Tamandua tetradactyla: one gene and its partner. The protein of the gene in region 2 interacts with the protein of the main gene of each other region in a pairwise test. Links are inferred from orthologs where the notes say so. Each region holds a gene or a part of one and is shown on either strand. Other genes may lie near its edges.

Region 1 (15,767 bases), on a different chromosome or scaffold from region 2:
AGCAGATTAGTGGTTGTTTAGCACTAGCCGTGGGGTGGGGGTACTGGGGAGTGACTGCTGTTGGGTACAGGTGTTTTTCTTTGAGGTGATGAAAATACCCTAAATTGATTATGGTGATGGTTGCAGAACTTTATGAATATACTGAAAAGACCATGGAATTGTACACTTTAAATGGGTGAATTGCATGGTAGGTAGATTATATCTCAAAGTTGTTCTTTAAAAAATTAATGCTACAAAAACTCAGAAATGAACAGCACAATACTACCTAACTGTAATGTAATTATGTTAAAACACTGAATGAAGCTGCATGTGAGAATGATAGAGGGAGAAGGGCTGGGGACATAAATGAAATCAGAAAGAAAGGTAGATGTTGAAGATTGAGATGGTATAATCTAGGAATGCCTATAGTGTATAATAATAGTGACTAAATGTACAAATTTTAAAAATGTTTCTGCATGAGGAAAAACAAAGGAATGTCATTATTGCGGGGTGCTGAAAATAGATGGTAATTAATATTTTAAAATGTCACCTTATGTGTGAGACTAAAGCAAAAAATGTTTGTTACAAAATTTATATTTTGACTAGTGCATTTGCTAATATAACTTATGTAGATAGTCTGATTGAACACCATAAGTACTTGGAATCTCAGGTAGGACATGAGATTTTGTTGGTTTGTCCAAGGAATCCCAGAGTGATTCGATCACTGAGTGGAAAAGTATTTGCAAAGCCCCCTTCGGGGAATGGTGAGAGTGGGGAGAAATTCAACTTCCCCAAGTTGAATTCCTGATATTCTCAAAAGCAGTGGGGACAACCAAAGCTATAGGCTGAGTCCCCAGTCTTGGGGTTTGTTCATATGAAACTTAACCCCACAAAAGATAGGTCAAGTCTACTTAAAATTTAGGCCTAAGAGTCACCCCCAAGAGAGCCTCTTTTGTTGCTCAGATGTGGCCTCTCCCTCTAGCCAACATGAGGAGCAGTCTCACCACCCTCCCCCTCTCTGTGTGGGACATGACTCCCAGGGGTGTGGACCTTCCTGGCAACGTGGGACAGAGATCCTAGAGTGAGGCTTGGGGTATGACAATAATTATATATCTGCATTAAGGGACTCAGCATTAATGCAGCATTAATTAATGACTCAGCATTAAGGGATTGAGAAAAACCCTAGAATGAGCTGAAACTTAGCATCTAGGGATTGAGAAAACTTTCTCGACCAAAAGGGGGAAGAGGGAAATGAGACAAAATAAAGTGTCAATGGCTGAGAGATTCCAAAAGTTATTCTTACGCTTTAAGTAGATATCACCTTGTTATTCAAGATGTAATGGAGAGGCTGGAGGTACCTGCCTGAAGATGTAGAGCTGTGTTCCAGTAGCCATGTTTCTTGAAAATGATTGTATAATGATAAAGCTTTCACAGTGTGACTGTGTGATTGTGAAAACCTTGTGCCCGATGCTCCTTTTTTCTACATTGTCAACAGAGGAGTAGAACATATGGAATAAAAATAAATAATAGGGGAAACAAATGTTAAAATAAATTTAGTTTGAAATACTAGTGATCAATGAAAGGGGTATGGTATGTATAAATTTTTTTTCTGTTTTCGTTTCATTTTTTTCTGAATAGATGCAAATGTTCCAAGAAATGATCATGATGATGAATATGCAACTATGTGATGATATTGTGAATTACTGGTTATATATGTAGAACGGAATGATCAAAACAGGAATGTTTGCGTTTGTTTGGTGTTTTTTGGTATTTCAAACAATATAATAAAAAAAAATTTTTTTAAAGATGTAATGGACAGCCTGGAGCTACCTGCCTGAAGATGTAGAGCTGTGTTCCAGTAGCCATGTTTCTTGAAGATGATTGTATAATGATAAAGCTTTCACAGTGTGACTGTGTGATTGTGAAAAAAAAAAAAATCACTGAGAGAATTTGTGACCAAGAGACCAGCTCTGCAAGAAATACTAAAGGGAACACTAGAGACAGATACGAAGACAGAAGAGAGAGGTGTGGACAAGAGTGTAGAAAGGAAGACTATGAGTAAAGGTAAAAAGAAGGAAAATTAGATAGGACATATAAAATCCAGAAGGCAAAATAGGAGAAGAAAGTACTACCCATGCAGTAATAACACTGAATGTTAATGGATTCAACTCTCCAATCAAAAGACATAGTCTGGTAGAATGGATTAAAAAACAGGACCCATCTATATGCTGTCTCTACTCAAAGGACACGAGGCCAAGGACACAAATGGACATTTGTGGGGGAACAAATGTTAAAATAAATTCAGTTTGAAATGCTAGTGACCAATGAAAGGGAGGGTATGGGGTATGGTATGTATAAATTTTTTTTCTGTGTTCGTTTTATTTCTTTTTCTGAAGAGATGCAAACGTTCCAAGAAATGATCATGATGATGATTATGCAACTATGTGATGATATGTGAATTACTGATTATATATGTAGAACGGAATGAGTATATATTAAGGATGTTTGCATTTCTTTCTTACAATTTTTTTAATTAATAAAAAATAAAATTAAATAAATAAATAAATAATCGGGGAACAAATGTTAAAATAAATTTAGTTTGAAATGCTAGTGATTAATGAACGTCAGGGGTTGGGGCATGGTATGTATAATCTTTTTTTTTCTGTTTTTGTTTTATTTCTTTTCCTGTTGTCTTTTTATTTCTTTTTCTGAATTGATGCAAACGTTCTAAGAAATGATGAATATGCAACTAAGTGATGATATTGTGAATTACTGATTATATATGTAGAATGGAATGATCACATGTCAATGTTTTAGTTCGTTTGTTAATTTTTTTTACTTAAATAAATTAATTTAAAAAAAAAGAGAAATGCATGATCTTGGAACCAAGGGTATAAAAAGATTTTTAATCTATGCTAAAGAAATGATTATAAGGCAGTGAAACTGTTGTCATTCAAAACATACATTTTCTCCTGTTTTATAATTTATTTTCATATCAATTTCTGGTACAAATTTCAAACAGAAAGACTTGGGAAAAAAACAGTTTCAACATTTTGAAATATTTATGCCATCAAATGTGAGTCTAATTGTCTGAATTTAGAACTTTATCTACTCTATGAGACTAAAGGAAGAGAAGTTTATTTTGTCCAGAATCTAAATTTTCTGTAGCGCGTAATCCTATTCAATCTACCTTTATAGATCATATAAACAACCCAAACACAGGGAGCCCAGAATGGAAATGAAGGCTTGTAAACCCATATAACTTTATGTAATGTCTGGATATATCCCAGAGTATGTTGAACAGATAGTTAAAAGGTATTGTCAAAATCCCTTGAGCAATGGGAGAAAAAATATGAAACTATTAAACTTTACTACTGGGGAAACCCCTGATAATGTCTTAAACATTAGGAACTCCCAAGTCAGTAGGCCAAAACCTTGATCTTGAGGCTTGCTCTTCTGAAGCTTATTTATGTAGTGTAGAGCTTAGCCTACCTATAGGTATGACTGAGTTACTTACAGAAGACCTCTTTTGTTGCTCAGATGTGGCCCCCCCTCTCTCTAAGTCCACCTCAGCAAGTGAAATCATTCCTGTCCCCCCTACGTAGGACATGACATCCAGGGATGAAATTCTGCTTTGTAAGGTGGGAGCTGACTCCCACGGATGAACTGGCCCTGGTACCATGGGATTGACATTGCCTTCCTGACCAAAAGGGGAAAAGAACTGTAACAAATAAGGTACCATTGGCTGAGGGAGTTCAAATAGCATTGAGAGGCTACTCTGGAGGCTACTTGTAAGCAAGCTTCAGCTAGACATTGCTATTTATCATGGTTTGGTGACCCCCAACCAAAACCATTCCTGCCAACCCTAAAGAACACCTAGGGCTTTATCTGAGACTCTACAAAGGTTCCATGCACTAAGATAACTTTCCGGAAATCTACAGCTTCCAGGTGGGTTCCCAGGCCAATTAAATCCTGAAACCCAGAGGGGCAAGCCTCTTCAGAACATCAACTAGTTCCGTCTTCCATCCCTTATTATCAACAGCTCTTTCCAACATGAAAAAGTTAGAATGGGCACAGCCCAAATACCCCTAAAAATTGGGACAAAGACCAAAGGGGAAGGTGGAGTTACAATAGAAAAGGTAGGATTTAACAAATGAGTATGTCTACTGAATCATTATATTGATACTTCTTTTAATCTCCCATGTCTTGGAGCAGGTAGAAGTAAATCTCTGAAATCTGTTCTACAACTCAGTGTTGTGGTGTGCTCTGATATTTATTGCTTTTTGGGTATATGTTAATTTTTACAATAAAAAAAATTAAAAATTACTGAATAAATGAAGGAAGAAACCAGTTTTAAAAAATGTGGGTCTATACTTTCCCACCAAACTTTAGCATTCTGATGAAAGATGTTGTTTTGAAAATCCACCCCATAAAGTAACCATTAAATTCATTCAAATTGTTTGGACAGCCTTAATACAATTTTTTTTGTATGCTTTCACTGGGGAAAAGTTCTATTATTGGATTGGTCCTGAATAAACACTGAAGTATTTTAATGATCATTTAAAAAAACAGAATATGTTTACAGCCTGGGGAACTTATGAATAAAAAGGTGAAAAATGCAGGAAAAAAAAAAGATTCCACTAAAATGGTGGCAAAGTTTAATGTCATTTTCATTTCTCAAAGACAGTGGTTCCTGGACCAGCAGAATCAGCATCACTTGGAAACTTAGTAGAAATATAAATTGTTGGGCACTAGTGATTTGCTTTTAACAAGCTCTCCAGGTGATTCTGAAAATTTTGAAGATACTCAAGTTTTAGAACCACTGTTCCAAGTTACTAAAAAGCAATTTCATTAGGCGGGCCATGGTAGCTCAGTGACAGAGTTCTCATTATAATATAAACTAAGATATTAAGATAGTAACCATTCCAGTCTAGGTCATTTAAAACTATGTTTTTACTATGATGTCTTATAATTAAAAATAACAGTAAATATTTTCAATAAATTAGTATAAAAGTATTGTGCTGCTTTGACATGATGTATGTATCCTAGAAAAGCCATGTTTTAATCCTAATCCCATTTTGTAAAGGTAATCGTTTCTTCTAATCCTTATTCAGCATTGTATGCTTGAAACTGTAATTAGATCATCTCCCTGGAGATGTGATTTAATCAACAGTGGTTGTTAAGCTGGATTAGGTGGAAGTGTCTCTGCCCATTTGGGTGGGTCTTGATTAGTTTACTGGAATCCTATAAAAGAGGAAACATTTTAGAGAATGAGAGAGATTCTAAGAGAGAGCAGAACAACATAGCCACGAGAAGCAGAGAGCCCACCAGCCAGTAACCTTGGAAATGGAGAAGGAAAATGCCTCTCAGGAAGCTTCAGGAAACAGGAAGCCAGGAGACCAAGCTAGCAGATGACTCCGTGTTCATCACATGCCTTTCCACTTCAGAAAGAAACCCTGAACTTCATCAGTCTTCTTGAAGCAAGGTATCTTTCCCTGGATTCCTTAGATTGGACATTTCTATAAACTTTTTTTAATTGGGACATTTTCTCAGCACTAGAACTGTAAACTAGCAACTTATTAAATTTCCTTTTTTAAAAGCCATTCCATTTCTGGTACATTGCATTTGGGCAGCTAGTAAACAAGAACAAGTAATAAAACAATTCATTATGAATCTCATTTCCTTTGAAAAACCATTAAAATTGTAATTTCCTTAATTCGTTCCCATTTCTAATTTGCAGATCCTTTTTCACTTCAACATCAACATAATCAAATGTTCATACCTTTCAAAGGATTTTTAGGAACAGTGAAATAACCAGGAAGGTGGAATTTTCAATTTCGCACAAACTGAAATTTTCACATGAACAAATATTACTTTTATAACAATAAAAAAGAAATCTATTAGCTAAAATTACCTCAGCAAGAAGTTGAAACTGAAGTTGCAGGAGTGTTACAAAAGAGGTTAAGCAACTTGAGTACTCTAATTCCTTTAGAAACCACAGATCTAAGTATCAAACTAAATATCTGCAATTTTAACATCCATGCATATTAAATAAATTTTTTGACAGAAAAACATCTTAGACTTTTCAGCTAAGAACAGTAATTGATACATCAAAATGATAGTAAACTCACTGGGAAAAGAGTTAGTCTTGGCTTAGCACAAATTTGACGCCCAAAAAGGAGAGATTTTAAGAGCCCAATTACAAATTTCTGCCACAGCCAACTGTCTACTGGGATAACCTACTTTGGGAAAAATACTTAATCACAATTTATATATAGAATATTTAAGGTGTGTACACTGCAATAATAAGCACCTGGAGCACATTAAGCAATTTTATAAATGTATTTACGATATATTGAACATATACGCAATCATGGGAACCTTCACCACATGACTGTCTCAGCATTTTCACTATTTCCAATTAACTATCCTTTCATAAACTGAGAATTGACAATGACAGAATTTTGAAATCTATTAATTCTTTGCTAAACACTAAGACAATTTCTACATTCTAAGTACTGCCAAACAAAGGTCAATGACTAATATTAAATACCAAGCATGTGCAGGACAGTATTAAATACTTCCCTCATTCATCTTTGTATTCCCACCATAAAACTAAGCATATAAGAGATATTTAATTGGTATTTTTAGGAAATGTTATGAGTATTAAGTTATTTGAGAGGATTAGAAATCCTCAAGAAGATTAGAGAGTTGGGAGATATGACAAACACATGAAAAGTTAAATAACATGACAATTAAAAATACCACGTGACAAAATATGATTATTTGCAAAATAAGCGGCAAAGAGAGTGCTATAAGCTCTGATTAGAATGAGATCATTATGGACAGCAGTCCTGCGGATCTTGCGAACAGACGGCGACACGATATTTCAACTTAAAAAAAGAAAGTGACACAGCATTCATCCCACCCTAAAATTATCTTCAGAAGAAAGAATAAAGAGAATGGTATAAAGAAACTTCCATACAAGGTTGTTAAAGCATATGATACTCCTGAAAAAAGTTAGAATATTCACACACACACACACACACACACACACACACACACACACACACAATCGTTTGCTGGGTCCCAGGACCCCTAAAGGGTCCTGAATACAAGTCTAGCAAAAACAGCATGCCCTCTCTCATCCTCCACCCCTCACAAAGCACTGCACTGGGCAGACGCCCGAGAAATTTCTCCCAGCCTCTTCTACGGCAATATTCTCATCTTCCTCTCCCTCCCCTCGCCTATATCAGACGGTGGCATCTTCCTCCAGGGGAAAAAGCAGAGGGCGGGGGAGGCAGAACAGGAGGGAAAGCTTGCAATGAGGTCGACTTTAGAGCAGAAGGAAAGCGAGAAAATGCGGGGGGCAAGGCTGGGGTCCCCTCAGTCCTGCCCAGCTTCCGGAAGCCTGGCAATACCATCTTACCCCAACGAACGCCCCCCGCCGCGGGACTCAAGACAGCAGGCGGCTGACTCCGCGGACAGCCTCCGCCCCACCTGGGCCACCCGGCCCTCCACGCCCCCACCTCTCCTCCACGTCGCCGTTAAGTGACAGGTCTTCGTCGGAGGAGGCGGGGGGAGGTCGCACACACTAGCAGTTAGGGAGCTGAGGCCCTCCGCAGCAGGGGGACACAACGTCGCGGCCGGACCGGGGTCAGTCCAGGCCCGGCCGCCGGTGCGGTGGAGGCGGCACTTACTGCGGAGATTGTGGATGAGCTCCGAGTGGCTGGCGCCGCCGGATTTCCAGGCCATCGCTAGGCACACCCGGAGCAGGTACAGAACCACCTTCAGCGCGGCGACGGTGCCCAGCAGCTTCCCCAGGAGTGACACCACCTCCCACACGGTCACCACCCCGCCCGCGTCTCCGCCGGAGCCGCCGCCGCTGCTGCCGCCACTGCGCGCTCCCGGCATGCCCCGGGGCACGCATGCGCCCTGTGACGCCGCGCTCTGGGCGGGGCCGGGTGGGGCCGAGGAGGCGCCTTCCCAGGACTCCCCCGAGGCTGGATGGGTGGTGCAATCTCCCGAGTCTCTCGCTGCGCATCGCCTTTCCTCGGGCTTTCCTCTGGTCGATCCTGGAGACCCTCGCTCTTGTCCCAGTGCAGAGCGATTTTGCGGCCGGTCTGCTTCACCACGGTCACTGGTAGTTCCGCAGTCGCCTCTCGGTCAGCTGTTGCGAGCCACGGGGCTGCTCCTATAACTGTCCACGTTGTTAAGCGGTGGGCTTCCCCCGCCCTGCCTCACCCAGCCCAGTAGCTAGGGTAGAACCCCAGCTCCGGATGGTGGAGTCTGTAGGATCTGACTCGGGCTTGGGACAGCGCTGGTTAGCAGAAAGCTTGCTATCCTCGTTTGTTGTCACTTCTAAAGCACAAATTCAGACAGAAAATTATATCATGATAAAGGATGTAGGGATTGGGTGTTTTGCCCCTTGAAACAACGCACATTTGAAGATCTACAATTGGTTAAAAATCCCACAGTATGCTGAAGACTCACAAATTCCACCGTTAGACTGGGCACCGACTTTGTTGCTATCAGCTCTGCAGACGATGAGCGAGAAGCTGTCAGGGAACATTGCCTGTCTCAGACAAAATGCTGACTCCTGTATCTAATCACAGTCTGATTGGAAGACAGCCCCTTGGATTCTCCTTTCTCCAAGTGATGAGCCCACAACTCCCTGTCCCAACCTGAGAACTCAAGTTGCTGCTTAGGTTTTTTCTACAAAGCTGTGTGATCTAAGTGAACCCAACCCCTGACCTCCATCTTTTCTCTCATTTCCTTTCCTTTATAATACTTGTTTACTCCAGTCCTTCTCCAAGCCCAGGCTGTGACAAAGAAGGGCCCATTCTGTTTCTCTTCATCTCATCTATTCATCACTCTCACTGGCACCCTCTCTTCCTGGGAAACACATATAATTGTATTGTCAGGTGTGGGGAATGAATGATCTTTTTCCCCCCAGATACATTCTTACTTATTTGAGACATCTGATTCCCTTAGAATCCTGACCCTTGATTCAGGGGGGTGGCTTGCAAAAGGGGAAGGAGTGCAGTCTGGTACCCTTCTCCTGCAGGCCCCATGGGGTACTATCTAATAAATATTCTGAGTATGGAAAAAAAAATGCTGACTCCTAATCAGAACCGAGGCTAGTAGAACCCAACCATCACTTGGTCCAGTACACTTTTAAGGAAGGAAGCAAAGCTATACCGAGACATCTATACTACTGTGCCAGTTTCATTGTTCAGGTTCTAATTCTTAACAGACTTTGCTAAATGTGACATGAATCTGATTTCCAACCTGAAATATACTTAGACCTTACCTTTTTTTCTGGCATCATGTGATCATAAACACTCAAAACAGTGTGCTCTACTTGAATATTAGAAATAAAATGGTCAGTTTGGAATTCTAATAGTTTGCCTTGCTCTCTGCAACTTCCTGATGGTCTTCTTGTTAGGGGAAAAAAATGTCAAGTCATTGATAGGAACCTGATAACTCTCTAAAGCTGGCCTGGGTGGATTGAATTCACATGTGGTGATTCCATAAGCTGTAGTTGTCGAATAGGACTACCAGATAAAAATAAGAGCAAGAAAGTATCATCGGCGTTCTAAAAAAACAGGAGATACAGTTATGAATACCTATAATGTAAAGGAGATAAAAAGATGAAGAATTTACACCTCTTGTATGAAATTGGATTTACGTTCTAATTGAGGAGATCTGTGCCAAAGGAAAACTAGCAATAGAAAGCAAAATATAAGTACCATCAGTGCTGTAGATAACCAGTGCTATGTTTATATAGATCATCATGGACTGTGGTAATCAGGAAAAGATAGCTGAAGGAACTAATGCTTGAAAGGTGAGCAAGATTCTGGGAAAGGAAGAAGAATGGATGTTATAGGTATAACTAAAGGCACAGGAGAAGGAACCTAGAAAACTAATTCCTAGGCTGTTGACTTTCGATATCACCATATTCATTCTTTATTAATACGTAAATGAATTGACCAGGGTTACAGCTAGGCAATGGGCTGCAAATTAGACCTAGAGTCTTAAGAATTCCAACGCCGGACTCTGACAATGTGTTATTAACAAATGTGAAACAAAAGATTTGTTTGGGGGCAAAGAGGGAGAGGTTTTGATAATAAGTTGGTGCATTAGTAGAGGTACCTCCGTGAGAACGGTAAGGATCTTGCGTATTTCTATACGCGGTGAAGTGCAACTGAATACTTAGATATCATTACAAGGTGGTTTCTCCTGCACTGATTTTGGTTTTGCCCTTAAAATTCATTTTACATTGCACACTTATTGCACAAATACACTCTCTCAGCCTTCCTGTAGTCATTTTGCCGGTTAAGAGCTGACCCTACAGCACAAAACCGTAAGGCACCCTTGTCAGAGCCGCCCCTGCTAGCTTGGGTTGATAGTTTCCTACCGGCCACCCCTGCCAGCTTGGGTGCTAGGACCAATCCGGTCTTCTTCGCCCAAGGAGGAAGATTGGCCCTCCTCAGACACCATCCCATCTATGTCCCATCCAATCAGGGTGAAGGACAGGGCTTAGAGCGCGCGCGGCAGTGCTTGCCATTTCTGCTTCTGGCATGGAGGAATTTTACGCCAAGTTTGTGTCTCAGAAAATCAGCAAAACCCGTTGGAGGCCCGTGCCCCCGGGGAGCCTACAGACCGCGGAGACCTTCGCTACAGGCTCTTGGGACAACGAGGTACCTCGACCCTAGCGACAGCCTTTCCCCACACTTGGGCCCCCTGCATCTGCGGCCCGGCCTCCCGAGCCAGTTCTCGCCCGCTAGCTGTTCCTACCTTCTCCGAGTCGGGGGACTATCTCGGGCTCTGTTGCCTGGTGCTCAGAGCCGGCAATAGAATGCCTGAATGTCGTACCTCTTAATGGTCTGAACTTAACCGTTACTGTTTATTGAGGTGATTTTGATGCAAGGTTGCCTGAGGGCGTACGAATTTTAATTTCCCAGGGTTGATGCTTCTTTTGCTTCAAGACAAAACTTTCTGCTTTACAGGAAAATTATGTTTCCCTGTGGTCTATTGGAGATTTTGGAAACTTGGACTCTGATGGAGGTTTTGGAGGAGACCATCAGTTATTGTGTGATATCAGACACCATGGTGATGTCATGGATTTGCAGGTAAGTCTGTGTAGTATCTACGAATTGTTAAAACAACTGAGAGATACACTTAAAGATAAAAAAAAAAAAAAAAGCATCATAAAAGGTACACGGGTGGTTCAGTAGTAGAATGCTCGCCTTTCATGTGCGAGACCGGGTTCGATTTGGGGACCATGCAACACCCTCACCCACCAAAAAAAAAAATACCTTAAAGTTTTTTCTAGTCTCACCTTTCGTTACAGCCTCTGTGGGCTGAATGATTTTGCTAACGTCATAAAAGTATATAGTGGCAAAATCAGAACTCAGGCGGGAAATATAGATTTAATCACAGTTTTTTATCAGTTAACCAGCTAACAAGTGCCAAACACTGTTTTGGGAGCTTACACAAACTTAACCCTCGTTTCACGTCTGTGAATCAACTTTTGTTATTTGTTTTACCAGTGTGAAAACTATATGCTCAAGAACTTCTGTTGAGCATATATGCCTTTTGACAAACACTGGGCAAGGCAATTTACAAGGTTTTGCTTTTTGAATTCTCCCCCCCCCCCCCCCCATAAAGAAATAAGCGCTCCCATTTCAAAGGTTTACAAGCCTTGGAGAGCTTAATTTATTTGTCCATTGTCTAAGAGTCAGTAGTAAGTGATAGGGCTGGAATTAAGTATAGAATTAAGTCTGTATAACTTTAACATCCCTGTATTTTATTCTATAAAAAACTGTCTATCCCTGGAAATATTTTTCTAAATCTTTATTGTAATGGCTAAAAATTAAATCAGTTGCAAGCAAAGGAGTTTAGGGAAAAAATGCTGTTATTTATTATTCATGAAAATAGTATTATTTGTCTAGAAGTTTTTGCGTCTTAAATCTATTATTGCATTTTATTTGCTTAGCATACACGAGCTCTCTTTAAATTTGTTATACAGTTTGATACTGATTGAATTGAACAAATGGGTTTCCTCCCTACTAATGTTTTTGAATCCATAATAAGCAGCATTTTTCTACTTAGTTTTTGGACCAGGAAAGAATCGTAGCAGCTTCATCAACAGGATGTGTAACTGTTTTCCTTCACCATCAGAATAACAAGGTAAAGAACCTTTTGTTTGAAAACCACATTTGTGTTTTAATTATTTGGAGGAAGGTTTGCAGAAGACTGCTTAGTAATCATTACAAATAATTAAACTTCACAATCTCAAAACATGCTGGAGGGAAATCCACTGTTACTACAAAACTTTTGGTTGTTTGATTCTGGAATTATCTTTCTATGGCCTTTTATTGAACTTGGATATCCCTTAGCTTGTTAAATAAATTCTGTTAGTAGTTTTGACCTAAAAATGTGATATTCCAGTAGGTAATTTTGCTGTAATTCTGCCTTATAAGTTCTTTTGAAGAAAAAAAGAGTATCTTTCAGCTCAGATGCCTTGAGAAAGGAAAAGGAACAGTTGCTTTGCTTAGCTTGATGGATCCCAGGTTTTAATTAGAAGAGGATACACTGTTTGAAGACTGACTTTTTCTCAATGTCTTTCTTTTTGCTAAAGCCCAAGTGTACTGACCTTCACAGTTCCATGGTGAGGGCAATTGTTAAAAATAGCTTCACTTGCAGTAACACAGTTTGAAGTTGCTTATTTAGGTTTGGAGGTTAATAGAGGTATTGTTAATGGGTATGGGTAGCACATCTGGCTAAGTATTTTCCTTAATGGAGTCATTTAGAAAGAGCTATTGAGATTTATTTCTTAGATGTAGCCTAATTCCCATTAGAATGTAGAGTTGCTTTTGAACGCACAACTACTTGATACCCAAGGACCATTTCTTTATTTGACATAAAGATTGGAAACATTTGTTTTGAATCTAATTAAACGTATGTGAAGCTTTGATGAGAGTAATTTCTAGACATTAGTACTCTGAAATACAAAGGAGAAAGGAGAGCATTATTTTTCTAGAAAGATGTGAGACAGAATTTTTTCTTTTTTTTTTTAATTGTGGAAGTATTTGTGTAACAAATCTTCACATTCAAAGCTTCCCAAACATTACCATTCAGTGGGATTAATCATATTCACAATATTGTGTACTCTCACCACCATCCATTATGATAACTTTCCGTTTCCCCCCCACAGAAAACCTGTACTCATTTTGCCTTAACTCTTCATTGCCCCTACCCTGTATCCCTGATAACCTGTACTCTACTTTCTTTCTCTGTGAGTTTACATATTCTCTGATATTTTCTTTGTGGTTACCATAGGGCTTAAATTTAACATCTTAAATCTATAATAATCTTGCTTGCCTTAATACCTACTTAACTTCATTAGCATACATAAACCGTGTTCCTGGATCCCTTACTCCTACATCTTTATATAGTTCTTGTCACAAAGAATTGTGATTCCAAAACCATTGATTTATGATTACATTTCATGCATTTGCCTTGTAGATCTGATAGGAATTTAAAAAAAAAAGTAGAGTTGGAAATAAATATAATAGTAGTGACATTTATATTTAACCATGTCATTGTCTTTGCCACAGATCTTTTTTTTTTAATAAATAATTATCTACTTTATTTACAAAAAGGTACTGTGTGGGAGATCATAATCTGCCCTACCCCACTACTAATTGTAAACTGCTTCCAGTTCCTCTATACAAAGTACTTTTCTGGTTGATATGCTTTTATCTATGCTGTTTTCTCTGCCTGGAATGCCCTTCCTCTGCTGTATATCTGGAAATCTTCCAATTCTTTTTCTTATTATTATCGCTTCTTTTTTTGTGTGCATTTATCATCACAATCAACTTTTCTTTTTTGAGAAAAATAACATATATACAAAAAAGCAATACATTTCCAAGCACATTGCAACAATTGAAGAACAAATTTCAGAGATTGGTATGGGTTACAATTCCACAACTTTAGGTTTTTACTTCTAGCTGCTCTGAGATACTGGAGACTAAAAGAAATATCGATATAATGATTCAGCAATCATTCTCATTTGTTAAATCTCATCTCTCTGTATATATTCACCATTACCTTTGATCTTTCTTCCATTCTTTAGGGTTATTTGGTTTGCATGTCTTTATTTCTTCATGTGACGTCCTTCAGTTGTCTATTTGTTCTTTCCTTTCAGCCTGCTAGATTACCTTTAGCATTTCTTGTAAGATTGGTCTAGTGATGGTGAAGTCCCTCAGGTTTTGTTTACCTTCCTTTTTTTTTGTTTGCTGTATGGTGGGCATCACATTTCATTCTTTTTCCATGTGCGTATCCTGTTATTGATATACCATTTGTTGAATTTTTTGTTTATTTCTTTTCTTTTCTTTTATTTGCTTGTTAGTTTGTTTTGGGGAAGTGCATGGGCTAGGAATCGAACCCGGGTCTCCCTCATGGCAGGCGAGAATTCTCCTACTGAACTACCCTTGTTCCTTATTTTTTGAAAGACAGTTTTGCCAGGTACAGAATTCTTGGGTGGCAGTTTTTGTTCTCAGCACTTTAAATATATTTTCCCGCTGCCTCTTGCCTCTGTGGTTTCTGATAAGAAATTGGCACTTTCTTGCCAAGGATTCCTTGTATGTGACATGTTACTTTTCTCTTGTGGCTTTCCGAATTCTCTCTTTATCTTTGGCATTCCGCAGTTTGATTGCGGCATGGTGTGACATGGGTCTATTTGAGTTTATTGTGTTTGGAGTTTTTGGAGCATCTTGTATGTGCATATTTATTTCTTTCCTTAAATATGGAAAGTTGTCAGCCATTTTTTTCCTTGAATGTTCTCTCTGCCCCTTTCTCTTTTTCTTCTTCTACGAATCCCACATGTATATATTGGTATACTTTTGGTGTCCGACAGGTTCCTCAGGCCCTGTATACTTCATTTCTTTCCTCTTTCTCCCCCTTAGACTGAGTGATTTCAATTGTCTAATCTTCAAGTTCACTGATTCTTCTGTCAGCCTCAATCTGCTGTTGAACTCCTCTAGGAGATTTTCTAATTTCTGTAACTGTAGTCTGCAACTCTGTTTCCTTTTCATAATTTCCATCTCTACTGGTTTTCTCATTGTTCATCTGTCATTTTTCTGATTTCCTTTAGTCCTTTGTCCGTGTTTTCTTTTCCTTTGTCCATGTTTTCTTTGAGTATATTTGTGTTATCACTGGAATTTAGATTCTGAGGCATCTGTTCTTAAGCTTGTATACAGCTAGTGTTATGACAGAGCTTTTGTTGAATACCAGAAACTAATTTAAAAAAAGAAAGACTTGGGACAACAAAATCGATAAGCTATGTCCTTGATCTTGGGGGTCGCCCTTATGAAACTTATTCCTGCAAAAGGTAGGCTCAGCCTTCTTAAAATTAGGCCTTAGAGTCACCCCCAGAGAACCTCATTTGTTGCACAGATATGGTTTCTTTCTCTAAACTGACATGGCAAGTGAACTCACTGCCCTACCCCTCTGCATGAAACACAGTTCCCAGGGGTGTAAACCTCCCTGGCGATATAAGACAGAAATCCCAGGATGAGACAGGACCCAGCATCAAAGGATTGAGAAAACCTTTTTGACCAAAAGGGGAAAGAGAGAAATGAGACAAAATAAAGTGACAGTGACTGCAAGGTTTCAAACAGACTCTAGAGGTTATACGGGAGGTTCTTCTTACACATAATATAGATATCCCCCTTTTAGTTTATGGTGTATTGAAGCGTCTGGAGGGAAGTACCTAAACT
Region 2 (15,767 bases):
AGAAAATGGGAAACTGATGCTTAATTTGTCCAGAACATGTAATATGGTTGAATTGTAAATGTTTGGAAATGTATGGAAATTACGGTAGCACATTATATAGCAAGTGTAACTAAAACAATGATATGTGGGTGTGACTGGTTGAAAGGGGTTGTTCAGGGTTGAGTATGTTACTATAAGGAAAGCCAAAGGATGAAATATGGGACTTGATAACATAATGAACCCTCTTCAGATTGAAAATGTTCTAGAATTGATTGTGATGATGAATGCACAACTGTTTATATACTAGAAGACACTGAATGTACATATTAGATGGATTTCACAGTATGTGAATTTAGCTCAATAAAACTGCTTTAAAAGATAAAAAATTTAAGAAAAAAATTTTTAAAGTAAAAAATTAAGAAAATCAAAAGACAATTTCCAAAAGGCAAAGAAAATTCACCACATTAAATAACAAATAAAAATGCTGGACAAAGTAAATTCACCACAAGTCATTCTGACTTTAGTCTCCTCAGGACACCAGGATTACAACTGCAAAAAAGGCAGTGCAAAGACTGCTCATTTTCTACTGTACAAAGGAGGAACTATGGTAGCTTCGACCCCTGGGTGCCCACCCATCTGGCTCAGAGTCCCCAAGAGGATTAACACAAGGAGCCCTAACAGTATATACTATCCTAACCCTGTCCAGTCTACCTGGAACCCCTGCTTCCACTCCCTACTCTAAAGGGCTAGATTTCTACACATGGCTTTTGTCCATTCACCAGACTTGGTGGCAGGCCAGTGCTCAGCTCCTCCAGCCTTCAGGACTAGGAAGGATTCTGAAGATGTCTTGGCTGTATAAAACTAAGTCCACGGAGTCCAAGGAGCAGCAATACCTTCAAGTTTAACCTGCTCTCCCAGTTCATATTATCATCTTGACCAATCCAATGAGACTGTACACATATCTTTCCCCACAATGGCCAGGGAGGAAAGGTGGAATGACTCAATTCCTTCCACTTCCTTAAGTCCACTCTTCCCTTATTTTTCCCTCTATTTAACCAGCTCTGCTGCACTCCCCCATCAGTCTCTACTCTTACAGCAAAAGAGCTTTAGACATGGAATTGATATACTATAATTGCATTACTAACAACATTTAATTTTTTAGCCTGTTTTTTCATCTATAAATGAGGACAGTATTCCTGAAGAAAGATACCACATGATCACTTCTAAATACTCCACATGGTCACTTCTAAATAATGCAAGGCCACTAAAAAAGTTCACTGAGTAAATAAACTAATGAATCTAAAACCAAATTTACAATGAGCAAACTCTGGTCAATAAAATCTCCTGTTTCTGACTCTCTCATCTAGAACAACCCTGGTACACCATGCAAAGCCCCATGTCCACATCCTCAGGGAACCAGAAGATTCAGCATCAGTTGTGCCACGATGCAGAACGGAAAGCAGGACATACCTGGAAGGAAGTGGGAATACAGACGAGGTTCAGATTCTCTTGCTTGACTCTTTCAGCTGTGGAGACAGGAGCCGTTTTGGTGGGTTTTCATTCTTTTCACTTTATTTTTATTATCACATTAGGTCTGTTCAAATCCAACTGTGAGGAAAACGTCTGTCTCCCACTGACAGCTGCCTTTCATTCTGTGTCCCCACCCATGGTGAAAAGCTGGTGACTGCCCTTCAGGCCCAAGACAGGAACTCTACAATGCCTGTGGAGGTTAATATTAACCACACAAAGTGCACCATAATGTTTGCTACTATTATGTCCAAGCAGTATTCTAAGAACTTTGTACATACAAACTCTTTTAAGCCTAACAACCCAAAAGGTAAGTTATGATTACTGTTCCTATTTAACAGATGAGAAAACTGAAGACTGGGAAAGTGAAGTAACTTGCTAATTATGCAGCTAGTAAGTCTGCAGAGCTGGGCTATGATGCCAAGCAATCTAACATCAATCTTAACTAGTACCCTCTATGGCCTTTTCAAGGAACTAAAGCTTTACTTCCCTTTTCAAGGAACTAAAGCTTTACTTCCGTGTTAGTGAAAAAATATATAATCATTTGTAGGCCCCAGAACAGTAATTAAAGGAGGTTTATTTACTCTTTATTAATTTGTTCCATGCAGGAAAGCGTCATTTAAAAAAGTTCAAAACTACCCTATTAACTATCTTTTGTTGAGGTGTATTTTGGTTAGGTTTAGATACCACTATTATGAAATTCACAGTAATTCCTATGATCTAAAAGCCTCTGCATACTAAAGTCAAAAGACATACAACACTAAAGCTCCTTCTTGGCCAATAAGAAGATTCCAGAAGACATCACACCAGCACCTCAAACGCTCCTGAAGGACCAAGTGTTCAGGGAACTGTCCACTTGGTAGCTAGAAGCAGAGGTCACGATTCAGGTCAGGCTTTCCTGTGGTCTCTGTTCTTACAAACAAAAGCAGAGCAGTAAAACCAGTTGAGCTGCCACAGAAGCTGACAATCCCTGAGCCTTTCATAAGCACAGTTGCCCCAATCAGAATGAAGTCAGCACTGAAAGAACCAGCCACCAACAGGAGACTCATATCCACCCCAGGGTCATGGACAGGGCAAACGCCAAATCTGTCCTCAATTTGTCAGCTGAGATTGCCTGAAGAACGTGCAAACTTCAGTGGGCAAGCTCAGGATCCCTGGGACCCCAAAGAACCACTGATAGCAGTGTGACACAAAGATGATTAGAATTCTGTTAAAATCTTACCCTAAATCAGCTCTCCCCTCCAGGTGAGCAGAGTCCACAAGGCCAAGGGCAGCCCTGAAATTTGGTTGAAGAGGCCCAGGAAAGCCTCTCTCCAGAAGAGAACAGAAACACTCAACTGACCTCACTCTGCACTGCCTGAACCAAGGAGGGCAGGTACTAAACCTATGTCCCCAACCTCCCCAACCTTTCCTAGCTCCCAGCTCCCCATCACTCCACACAAGCATTCAGGAGACAGAACAGGAACACACCTATTCGTTGTACAGCATGGACAATTGTAGAACCACTTCCAATTCCCAGGACTTGGTTATCCTGCCAAAAAAGAGGAGAAAACAACATTTTAATTATTATTAATATCAAATTTTACTTCCTCTTCAGCCTATTTCCTAGATCTATGAAAATTAGTTGACGGACAGCAATTCATCATTAACGGACAAGGAAGGTACTACAACTATTTTACAGAAACTTAAGTGTTGAGATTCAACACTGCACTTTATCCTGATAACCAGTGGGCAATGTAACAGTAGAGCCATCCTCTCCATCTCCGACACTGCCAACATCACCACTTCCTCCCTGCTTCACACCAGACAAAATCATCGGCTTAACCACTCACATCACACAGCACACAAGGTATATGCGCCTCACAGACATGGCCTGCAGACAAACACGGAAAGGTTCTGGCTAATTCCAGGCAGGGAATCAAAAGAGAAAGGAAAACGCAGAGCCTGTTGCACACTAACAACAGAAAACTGGGGTTTCAAGTTTCCACGAGAAGGCAGGCGAATGACCACCTGCACCTTTATGTTCATTGGTGGCCTTGCAGGGAACCTCAGGGACATCAGGGCCCCCACCCAGGGGGCCCTCAAAGCCAGCAGGGCAGTTGGGAGAGTCTAAAGTGTTAAAAGAATTGTAACCAAGAAGTTAGGTTTTGAGGGATGATTATATTTCCTAAATCATTTTATCAATATTCTTTTTTACTTTCTGGAATATTAATATAAACAGAGGGAAATGTCCCAAATCCCTGAACTGTAATTCAGCTGCCCTGATATCTAATAATGATTGCAAAAGCCCTTATCTTGTGCCTTCATGATTGTAAGAGCGGTCACTCTCTTTATCAGGTCATTTTCTTAAAATAACTTGTAGGGATAAGACCCTAATGCTAATGAATTTAAATTTGCCATTAAATAGTTTCAGCCTTTTACATTTTCAAATTGCATCTGCTCAACTCCTCCTTTTCTGTTTAGAACCAGCTATTTGAAATTGTATGACCTCATACAACCTTGAAGAATCTATAAAAAATCTTGAAGCCCCTAAACTTCAAGAGACAGATTTTAGGTCACTAGGCAACCTGATCTCCTGCTATGCAACTAGTAATAAACGCTTTCTCTCTTTGAAACCCGTGTCTCAGGAATCGGTCATTTGAGGATGGTCAAAAGAATCCACTGCCTTTGTCTGGTAACAGAAATAAAAACAAAATAGAGTGTTTATGTCTAAGAGATTTCAAATGATGTTGGGAGGTCATTCTGGAGGTTACTCTTAAGCAGATATCAGGGCATGCAAGGCCTCCAGCAACAATGTTCCTGAAAACCCTAAGGATATCCAAACACCATAAACAAACCACAAGATAAAGAATTCAGTTAACTATTTTTTTAACTTTTTTTATTAATTAAAAAAAAATTAACAAACAAAACATTTAAATATCATTCCATTCTACATATACAATCAGTAATTCTTAATATCATCACACAGTTGCATATTCATCATTTCTTAGTACATCTGCATCAATTTGGAAAAAGAAATAAAAAGACAACAGAAAAAGAAATAAAATGATAATAGAGAAAAAAACTATACGTACCATACCCCTTACCCCTCGCTTTCATTTACCACTATTGCAAACTGAATTTATTTTAACATTTGTTCCCCCTATTATTTCTTTTTATTCCATATGTTCTACTCTTCTGTTGATATAGTAGCTAAAAGGAGCATCGGACATAAGGTTTTCACATTCACAGAGTCTCATTGTGAAAGCTGTATCATTGTTCAATCATCATCAAGAAGCATGGCTACTGGAACACAGCACTACATTTTCAGGCAATTCCCTCCAGCCTCTCCACTACATTCAGTTAACTATTTAATCTGAAAGATAGCTGGAGTACCCCCAAATATCCACTGACCATAAACAACCTGCATAATCTTTCCATGTGAAAGCCCTTGCCTGGAAATGCCAAGGTGGGCCAGGATTCGGTTGCTACGTGAATCTGTGCCGAACTGCAATTCTAAGACCCCAAATGAATGCCTTTATTGCCTTGAAGTTTAGTTTGTTATTTCTTGGTTGACAGAAGTAAACCTCAATACACTCAGGCACACCAGCACCTACCCAGACGAGACCAAGGGGATCCCATTTTGCAAGAGCCCACCCCAGAGAACATGGAAGGAAGGCATATTAGGGACATGAGCTACAGACTCATATAGGGAGGCTGTATGACAGGGGCAGAGCACTTCCTGAGTAGAAAGGGAAAGAAAGGCCTCTCACAAAGGCAGAGCCATATAAGAAAGGAGGAAGACACCGATTAGCAGACAAGAGGCAGACCACTAGCAAGTACAGCTCAATCTGATCACAAACAGAAAGACAAGGTCAGGAACCAACCGTCAGGAAGTTTAGTTCGGAGGCAACATCCAGGGAACAACCTCCTGCTAATCTAAGGCAAAATTAGTAGAAACCAAAAGCAGGCAGTTACCAGGAAGTTTTATAAATATTGATACAAATTACACCTCACGACAACCCCTTAAAACCTAGAGATCTACTATCCTTATCTTGGAGATGACTGCAACACAGTCTGGAAACATTTAAGACCCTGAAGTGAGCAAGAGCTTACAGGGTATGTGTTCAAGGAACTGCTGGAGGCTCCACCCTGAATCTAAGGGGTGTGGGCCTTTGTCTTTGATTAGCCTATTTTACAACTCTAAGGATTAAGAGCAGAACATACAAAACTCAGCTGATCTTGGTACCTCAGGAAAGAAGCTGGCAGGGAAACTGGGTACAACTGGGGTGGGGTGAGATGCAAGTGTTTCCTGGTTCTAGTCTGAGGAGGCAGCTTGCAGTTTTTTCATTTAACCAAACACATAGCTATAAAACAATGATCCTGGAAGCATATGCCACCAAATATTAATATAAACAGGTTATCTGGAAAGCTTAAGACTTAGGGCTTCTCTTCCAAGAGATTTCATTTATCTGTCTACTACCAATTCAAGGTATCCAAAACCTTCTGAAATTTCAGTTTATTATCCGAGGCCATGAAGCCAAACAGAGGGCCAGATTATAAATATTACATTATCTCTGTGAATTCTCCTAAAAAATCCTCTCACTAACCAGGAATGCCATAAGCTACACCAGAAAGGCGAAGGTACGGGAGTCACTCCGTTTGAGGTCTCCGGGACCTTCGGCCACTCCACAGGTTACCACACTGGTTCTTTCCGCTTAAGCTATTTCAACGCTCAAGCTTTACCCAATACTAAACCACTTTACACAGCAAAGCGCTGACAAATGTAAAGAACTATCATTACGGGAGACAAGGGAACCCAGTACCACTTTCTAAGTAAAACAGGGGGTGAGAGAAAGCCAAAACGGCCAGGAAAAACGCCACTACAGGGCACAGGTACTCCATTTGGCTGCAAAGTACTATAATTAACTTAATTGGTGATAAATCCACCCGGGCTGAAAGACGCCACTAACAGCACCTGGATCTCACACCTAACAACCTCACTCTGAGGGAGAGCACCCGCCAGACCTCACGGGCCCGCCGGGTCAAGGAGGGAGGTTCGAGCGCCCGAGCGCCGGGTCTCCAGCCTTGGTTCTGCCGGCCGGCACGTGCCACGCGGGGAATCGACTAAGAAGAACTTCAAAGACTCGCGAGCCAGCCGTCCGCAGGCTTGCCGGCAGCCCCAGAATACGACCATTTTCCTTTGCTGACCCAGGCGGCCAGTCCCTTCTAGCCCGCGTCCCAGAGACCCGACACCACCAGGTTCCACTTCACAAACTGTTGGCCGGCCTGAACACGGAGCCTTCAGCGAGCTCAACTTCTGGGGAGCTCGCCCCCAACCCACGATACATCTAAGAGCTGGGGAAGACACCGCACGCCCCCTCCCCGCGCACGTGCAACGGCCGTGCCCAGGGAGCGCACGACGAGCCCACCGAGCTGGGAGCAGGCGCCCCGCGCGGCTCACCCTCACGTGGTTCTCCACAGCCGCGCGACCCGCCAGCCTTTTGGCCTCCTCGGCTTTGGACATCGTGGAAGGGGCAGAGAAGACGCGACCACCACCGCCCCTGCCACGAGCACCCGGACTGCCCGCGCCGCCGTGAGGCCGGGAGTCCGCGCGTCCCAGTGGATGCACGTGGAAGCCCGGGGCGCCCCAGCTGCTCGCGCCTCCGCCCGAGGCCGCGCCCCCGGCCCGCCCGGGCAGCGGGGCCAAGACCCGCCCGTAGAGGGTGCTGAAGGGCCCGGGGCGCTGCATCCCGACGCCGAGCTCCCGCCTCCGCCGCGATCCCGCCCTGGCTCGCCCAGTGTCTGCCCATGCGCATAGCCCGCTCCCACTGCCGCGCCGGGCTCCCCGGGAAATGTAGTTCTCGGGGCCCCGCGGTCCGTAGCCGCGCTCTCACCGGAACTACCAGCCCCACGGTGCTCCGCGGCTGGTGCGCAGTTCGCCGGTTGCCGGCTTCCGAGGCGGGCAGTGCGACCCTGATGGCTGTGGTCTGAGCGTCGTGCCTGCCTTTCTCCTGGGAAGATATGTTTGTTGTTGGATGCATCTCTCTGATCTGTGCGCCCGTGCGGACAGGCGTGTTGGAGCGGACACATTAGCTTTCCCAGCACTGAAGACCTGTCGTGGTCGAGACCTCAGGGCAGTGGCTCATTTGGAGACGCTCTTAGGCCCCAGCGCCGGCTGAAATCCGTCCTCAGACCCGGCAGGCGCAGGACCACATGTTCCGAATCTCCTGCCGTAGACGTTGCATGGCGTGCTTCGCCCTGGTGGAGTTGGCCCATAAGTACAAGTGTGACTTGCAGTCCTTGGAGACTCGAGAACTAACTGAATTTAACAACTCTCTCTCCTCTATCGTTAAGATGCTTAGGAAATAGTTAAGGGTGGGAAATTGTTACCGTCCCTATTTTACAAGCGAGGAAATTGATGCTTCCGCAACCATACCGACCACTTGGAGGTCCTTAAAAGCACGTGACTCTGCCTTTGTACTGCTGGTCCTTGTTGGTGAAATCCCATGAACTCGCCTTCATACTCTTGTCCAGTATGGACCGCTGTCGCCGCCCTCATTGCCTCAGTTTTCTTTACTGTGCTGTCAGCCCCAGGTCGTCCACTTTGGTCTGCAGAAGGAAAAATTCTTTGAGGCGATGTTTAAATTCTTGACTTTTAGGTGGAATTCAGAGATTAGCAGGATAAAATATCTGGACCCTACTTCTGTGGGTCCCTGCAGAGTTGAAACTTTTGACCTTGCTGAAAGCCCTTGGTGCCAGTCTTTTCCCCGTTCAGGCACCCTGGGTCCTTAGCACACATACGAAGAGGTTGGTAGATCAAGTGTTAGTGTCCAGTCTTTACCCTCTAGCCTCCGAGCCTTTCACTAGGACTTCCCACCACCTGAAATGCTCTTCTTACAACCCCCCCACCCCCCCCACCCACCGCACATCTTTGCACTGCCAGCTTCTTCCTGTGGGTCAGGCGCAGCTAAATTGACACTTCCTTAAGGAAATCTTCCTGACCACTCCATCTAAATTAGGGCACCCACCTAGCCTCTACCACTTTACCTATCCTAAAACTGTCCTTGTTCACTTCTTTGGTTTTGTACTTGCTTATCATCTATCTCCCTCTTTAAAAGCATCTCTGAGATGGTTTTTTCTCTTTTACCTACTGCATCTTTCAGTCCCCTTAAACACTGACATGTAGATGGCACTCAATAAATGTCTAAGGCATGATGCAATAATAAATAGATTTTATGCCTCTATTCCACACTGTACCTTCAGCCATATAGAATTTCCGTCTCCACAACCTGTGCTCTTACTTCCATGTCTTTGCACACCCTGTACACCTTTCTTGCTCCCGGAGTTCTTGGAGACTCCACTCAGTTACTACATTGCAAACATGAACCCTGCCATCGTTGGGTTGGGTACTCCCTATGTGCCCCCAGACACCTTGTACTCTGCCATTATTATCTTGCTCTGTTCACTTGATTTTCTCACTCAAAGGACTACAGTCCCTTGAGGCAGTTCCCCATAGGATGCACAGTGCATGGCTCAATACTTCACAAGTGAGTAATGTCCTACAAAGGTCCACCTGTTTGGGCTACTTTGTTTCTCATTTCTTCTTGTCTCCCTTCTCTCTGTCCACATTCATGTCTTCATTCCTTCCCCCTTTTAACCCTCCTTCCCAATATAGTTATCCCCTCATTAGCTTGTCTATCAGAATATCAGAAGTCTTGCCCCACCTCTTGGGAGAGGATTTGAGAAAGAATGTTTTACAGCATTATACTACAGACCAAATTGCTTAGGTTCACTCTCTCCCACTCTGTCACTTCCTGCTTTCCCACCTCCTTTCACTCTCCCTTCCCTCTTTCTGTCCTCCAAAGTGTTGATTTTGAAGGTGATTCACAGGTAAAACGGTAGGAAGCTGCAAAGCAGATGTTGGGATGGATTTGAGCATCTTGGGAGAGATTGAAGTGGTGCTGGCTCAAATTCACTTCAGGCTAGAGCTTGAATTACCCGTTTATTCAGCACCTAGACCAACTTAGAAACAAACTCAAGCTACCCCACCCCCACCCCATACCCTTGGAATAATCTTTTGGAGCCTCAACATGTGCCCTTTTGTTCCGTGAGGGCTGGTTTATTGTCTACTAATAATTTTGACCAACCATTAAGGCCTTGGGAGAGCCTGGGGCCTTATTATTCCTGGTGAGCCTAATGATCAGAATGAGTCGTGGTTAACATTTTAGTGTTATAGCCTTACTCTGTACTTATCACTGGAAAGCAGCATAATGCTGCTTGCTTTATCAAAACCAAGTCTTATTGATGGCTGACCAAGCCCATGGTCCTGAAGAAAATGCGTATAGAACAATTCCTTAGGGCTATGCAGATCATTCCTTAGATATACGTCAAGCTACCAGTGGTGGATTATTTGTGCACCCCACTTTGGACATGCTGTTGGTCTTGATCCACAGTCTGGTGTTATTTTTAGTTAAGGTGCGGCCAACTGAATCAGTTTGGGTTTTAATCTGGATTACTGGAGTTCCTTAAAGCAGAATAAAATTCAGACTTAGAAAAAGCCACAAGTAGGACCCAGAATCCAGGGGTGAAACAAGACATGGCCAAATGACGGAAAAGCCAAGAACCAAGGATCAGGGCAGGCAGCCCCAGAATGACAGTCTTCTGGGAGAGAACATTGCCTTGTTGAAAACATTATTTTTCCATCATTGTAGACTTCTAGCCTCAAAACCATGAGCCAATAATTTTGTTTGTTTATATGTTTGAGCCGACCTATTGTATGGTATTTGTTTTAGCTGCCAGGAAAACTAATATACTGCCTTTTGATATTTTTAAAATAGGGATTGTTAAATGGGAGTGATTTGGTCCCTCAGGGGATATTTGGCAATGTCTGGAAACAATTTTTTTTAATTAGAAAATAGTTTGTATTCTCTACATACAAAGTATTCTCTAAGTAAAGGTTAGAGAACAACAAATATTTTTTTAATATAAAATATAAAAATACAAATATATTTCTCCCATTTTTTGCTGGTCTTTTGACTTTGTTTATAGTGTGCTTTATATACAAACATTTTATATTTTAATATTGTAATCATCACTAATTTCTTTGCCAAAGTCATGAACATATTCTCCCATATTTTCTTCCAATACTTTTGTGTGTTAAGGCTTTTACTCCATCTGGACTTTAATTTTGCGAATGGTAGAAATCTGACTTTATTTTTTTTAATTAGATTAATAGCTAACTGTCTTACTATCTATTGACTAATAGGTTCTTTACCTGTTACTTGAAATGCTACTTTTATTGTATCTTAATTCCTTCATATACATGAAATTTTAGTTTCCTACTATGCCTGTAACAAATTACGTGCAAACTAATAGCACAATTTTATAATCTGATAGTTCTGGAGGCCAGAGCGTGAAATATCTCACTGGGCAAAAATAAAGATGTCCTCAGGGTTGCATTCCTCTGGAGACACTATGTTCCTGCACTTTCTCCTGCTTCTAGAGGTTCCTTGCCTCCATGGCTCATAACTGCTCACACCATTGTCTGATTTATTTAGTAGTTTGAGTTTTTTCCCCCTTATTAGAGAAGTTGTAGGTTTACAAAAAAAATCATGCATAAAATAATGGATCCCTAAAAATCACCTAATGTTAACATCGCACATTGGGATGCATTGGGATGGAACATTTCTTACACATGATAGCACATTTTTATAATCATACTATTAACTATATTACATGGTTTAACGTAGGGTTTACTGTGTAGTGTTATTCTATGGATTTATTTTTAATTTTTATCCTGTTACCGTATGTAATAATGCAACATTTCCCCTTTGAATACTTGCAGATATATATTTCAGTACTGGTAGTTAAATTCACAGAGTTTTATCACCATTGCCACTGGCCATTACCAAAATATTTTTGTCATTCTAAATAGGAATCCTGTATATTTTAAGCTTTAACTTCCTATTCCCTATTGCCACACTGGGCTGGGTAACCTATGTTCTAGATTCTAACTCTATGAGTTTGCTTATTCTAATTATTTCACATCGGTGAGATCATTTAATGTTTTTCCTTTTGTGTCTGGCTTATTTCATTCAACATATTGTCTTCAGTGTTAAACCATGTTGTCATGTCTATCAGGATTTCATTCCCTTTTGCAACTGAATAATTTTCCATTTATATATATATATATATATATATATATACTACATTTTATTTATTCATCAGTTGATGCCACTGTGAACATGATGTGCAAATAGTTTGAGTGCCTGCTTTCATTTCTTTGGAGTATATGCTTAAATTAAAAGTGTGATTGTCAGATTATATGGTTAGCTTTCTGAGGAACCACCTACTATCTTCTACAATGGCTGCACCATTGAGTCCTCCAACTTCATTCTTCTTTTTCAATATAGCTTTAGCTATTCAGGGCCTGTCCCTTGGTACCCTACATTCTAGCTTCTGACTCTGAATTTGCTTGTTCTAATTATTTCATATCAGTGAGATCACACAATATTTGTCCTTTTGTTTCTGGCTTATTTCAAAATGATGCCTTCGGTGTTCATCCCTGTTTTTATTTCCATATAAATATGATGATTGGGTTTTCAGTCTCTGCAAAGAAGGGTATTGAAATTTTGATTGGGAGTACATTGAATGTAAAAATTGCTTGGAGTAAGATTGATATCTTAATGAGTTTTAGCCTTTCCGTTCATGAAAAAGGAATGTCTTTCCATTTATTTAGTTCTCCTTTGATTTCTTTTAGCAAAGTTTTGTAATTTTCTACATACAAGTCTTACACATCCTTGGTTAGATTTATTTCCAGATATTTTATTCTTTTAGTTGCTATTGTGAATGGAATTTTTTTTCCCAGTTTTTCATTGCTTGTGTATATAAACACTACTGATATTTGGATGTTGATCTTGTAGCCTGCTACTTTGCTGAACTCGTTTGTTCTAGTTTGCTAGCTGTCGGAATGCAACACACCAGAGACAGATTGGCTTTTAATAAAAGGGGATTTATTTTGTTGGTTCTTCAGAGGAAAGGCAGCTAATTTTCCACCGAGGTTCTTTCTTACGTGGAAGGCACAGGATGGTCTCTGCTGGTCTTCTCTCCAGGCCCCTGGGTTCCAACAACTTTCCCCGGGGTGACTTCTTTCTGCATCTCCAAAGGTCTGGACTGAGCTGCGAGTGCTGAGATGAGGAATGCCGAGCTGCTTAAGCTGTGCTACATTGCGTTTTCTCATTTAAGCACAAGTCAGTTAAGTCAAACATCACTCATTGCAGCAGACACGCCTCCTAGCTGACTGCATATGTAATTGGCAACAGATGAGGTTCACGTACCATTTGCTTGTGTCCGCAGCAACAGAACTAGGTACGCTCACCTGGCCAAGTTGACAACTGAATCTAACTAACACATCGTTTTATTAGCTCTAGGAGCTTTGTTGTGGATTTTTCAGGATTTTCTGTTTATAGAATCGGGATATATGCAAGCAGGGATAGTTTTACTTTTTTTTTTTTCTAATTTTGTTTCCTTTTATTTCTTTTTCTTGCCTAATTGCTTCATCAAGAACTTCCAGTACAGTGTTGAATAAAAGTGGTGACAGTGGGCATCCTTGTCTTCTTCCTGTTCTTAGAGGTAAAGCTTTCAGTCTTTCACCATTAAGTAGGATGTTAGTACAGGCTTCTGTTTAGGTCCTTTATTATGTTGAAGTCTTCTTCTGCTCCTAATGTTCTAAGTGCTTTTATCAAGAAGGGCTGCTGGATTTTGTTAATCCTATTTTCTGCATCAACTGAGATGTACATGTGGTTTTTTCCCATTCTTTTTGTTAATGTGCTATATTCATTGATTTTCTTATATCAAAGCACTGTTGTATACCAGGATAATTCCCACCTGGTTGTGGTGGTGTAATTGTTTTAATATGCTGTTGGATTTGGTTTGCAGGTATTTTGTTGAGGATTTTTGCATCTATATTCATAAGAGATATTAGTCTATAATTTTATCTTTTTTTTGTAGTATCTTTATCTGGCTTTGGTATAAGGGTAATGATGGCCTTGTAAAATGAATTAGAGAGTGTTCCATCCTCTTCAATTTTTTGGAAGAGGTTGAGAAGAATAGAAGTTGTCTTCTTGGAATGTTTGGAAATTTCCCCAATGAAGCCATTTGGTCCTGGCCTTTCCTTTGTTGGTAGGTTTTTGATTACTGAGTCAATCTCTGAAATGTTAATTGGTTTATTGAGATCTTCTGTTTCTTCTGATGTCAATGTAGGCAGTTCATGTATTTCTAACAATTTGACCATTTCTTTTAGGTTATCTAATATATTGGCTAACAGTTGTTCAGTATACCCATGTATAGTCTTTTTTATTTTAGCCGGATCAGTAGTAATGTCCCCGTTTCACTTTTGATTTTAGTTATTTGTATCTTCTATGTTTTTTACTTTGTCAGTCTGCTAAAGGTTTGTCAATTTTATTGATTTTTTCAAGGAACCAACTTCTGTTTGGTTTTGTTGATGACCTCTGTTGCTTTATTTTTCCATTACATTTATCCTTCCTCTAATCTCTGTTATTTCCTTCCTTCTGCTCACTTTGAGTTTAGTTTGCTCTTCTTTTTCTAGTTCTTCCAGTGTCTTTATTTTTCTGTTTTAATAGTTTGGTGGGCACTATATTGTCTTTTTTAAAACCTATTTTTATTGAGAAATCTTCACATACATACATAGCATACAATGAATAGATCTCAGTATCATTACGTAATTGTGTTTTCATCACTGTAATCATTTTTAGAACATTTTTATCACTCCAGAGAAAGAAATAAAAAGAAAAAGCCTCATACATCCCCTACTCCTTACCCCTCCCTTTTATTGACCACTAGTATTTCAATCTACCCAATTTTTTTACCCTTTATCTTCCTGTATTTGTTTGCAAGCTGCCAGAATGCAATACCAGAACTGAAATGGCTTCTAAAAAGGGAAATTTAATAAGTTACAAGTTTATAGTTCTAAGTCTATAAAAATATCCAAATTAAGGCATCCAGGAAAATATACCTTAATTCAAGGAATGCCGAATGGTCAGAAATAACTTCTGTCAGTTGGGTAGTCATATGGCTGGTGTCATAGTCAGGTTTATGTGTCAACCTGGCCAAGTGGTGGTACTTGTTTGTCTGGTTGGTCAAGTGCTGTTCTGTCTGTTGTAATGAGGACATTTCATAGAATTAAATCATGGTCATGTCAGCTGCATCCACAGCTGATTCCATTTGTAATTAGCCAAGGGGAGTATCTTCTGCAATGAGTGATGCTTAATTAATCACGGGGAGGCTTTTAAGGAGGATTCAGAAGACACGGGCTCTCTTCCTGCTTCGGCCGGTGAGCCTCTCCTGTGGAGTTCATCCAGACCCTCTATCAGAATCGTCAGCTTCACAACCTGCCCTGCGGATTTTTTTTTTTTTTTTTTTTTTTTTAAAGGAAAGACAGAGAGAAGGAAGGAAGGATAGAAGGAAGGAAGAGAGGAAGAAAGGGAAACATCTTTTTAAACATTTTCTTGTTTTATTGTATTTTGTTTCTCCGTTTTCGTTACATGGGCTGGGGCCGGGAATCGAACCGAGGTCCTCCGGCATAGCAGGCAAGCACTTTGCCCGCTGAGCCACCGCGGCCCGCCTGCCCTGCGGATTTTGGACTCTGCATTCCCATGGTTACGTGAGACACTTTTGTACATTTTATATTTGTGAGTGTTTTCTGTTGATTCTGTTTCTCTAGAGAACCCTAACCAATACAGCTGGCATCTGCTGGTCCCATGCTTCTGAGCTCGAATGCTTTCACCCTCTGTTCTGTGAAGGGGATAGGATTGGCAGTCCTCATTTTGCTTCTCTGCAGCTGGCCTTTGTCTCTTGGCTTCCCTTGGCTCTCTCCAAGTTTTGGCTTACTTAACATCTTATGGCAATATTTGCTGGGCTCCAAGCATCTCCAAACATCTGTGTCTCTGCTCTCCAAGTGTCGGCATCTGTGTCAGCTCTGCTCTGAAGTTTCTGTCAGCTCTGTCATTTTTGAGGCTTCAGTCATTTCAAAGGTTTCTCCAACATGTTTCCTCTTTTAAAGGATTCCAGGAAAGTAATCAAGACCCACCTGCAGTGGGTGGAAAATCACATCTCCATCTAATCAAAAGGTCATACCCACAATTGGGTGCACCACATCTCTGTGGAGGTAATCTAATTAAAAGTTTTTGTCCTGCAATATGGAATCAAAATTTTAAAAAACGGCTATTCCCAAAAGATTGGATCAGAATTAAAACATAGCT

What was found.
Region 1: the proteins of RPIA (region 2) and PCMT1 interact in binary tests that used the Homo sapiens proteins (3 or more experiments, as listed by UniProt). The two-hybrid records come from large-scale screens. The link is inferred for Tamandua tetradactyla from reciprocal best matches to the Homo sapiens genes RPIA and PCMT1.

The regions. Positions count from the first base shown.
Region 1 is NC_135328.1:141,293,306-141,309,072, reverse strand, and holds the start of PCMT1 (protein-L-isoaspartate(D-aspartate) O-methyltransferase), read right to left. Parts: upstream 7,894-15,767; coding exon 7,680-7,893; intron 1-7,679. Other genes in the region: nucleoporin Nup43, read left to right, coding at 10,563-10,682, 10,992-11,114, 12,097-12,174. UniProt on the Homo sapiens protein: Initiates the repair of damaged proteins by catalyzing methyl esterification of L-isoaspartyl and D-aspartyl residues produced by spontaneous isomerization and racemization of L-aspartyl and L-asparaginyl residues in aging peptides and proteins.
Region 2 is NC_135343.1:62,576,311-62,592,077, reverse strand, and holds the start of RPIA (ribose-5-phosphate isomerase), read right to left. Parts: upstream 7,238-15,767; coding exon 6,950-7,237; intron 3,038-6,949; coding exon 2,977-3,037; intron 1,506-2,976; coding exon 1,450-1,505; intron 1-1,449. UniProt on the Homo sapiens protein: Catalyzes the reversible conversion of ribose-5-phosphate to ribulose 5-phosphate and participates in the first step of the non-oxidative branch of the pentose phosphate pathway.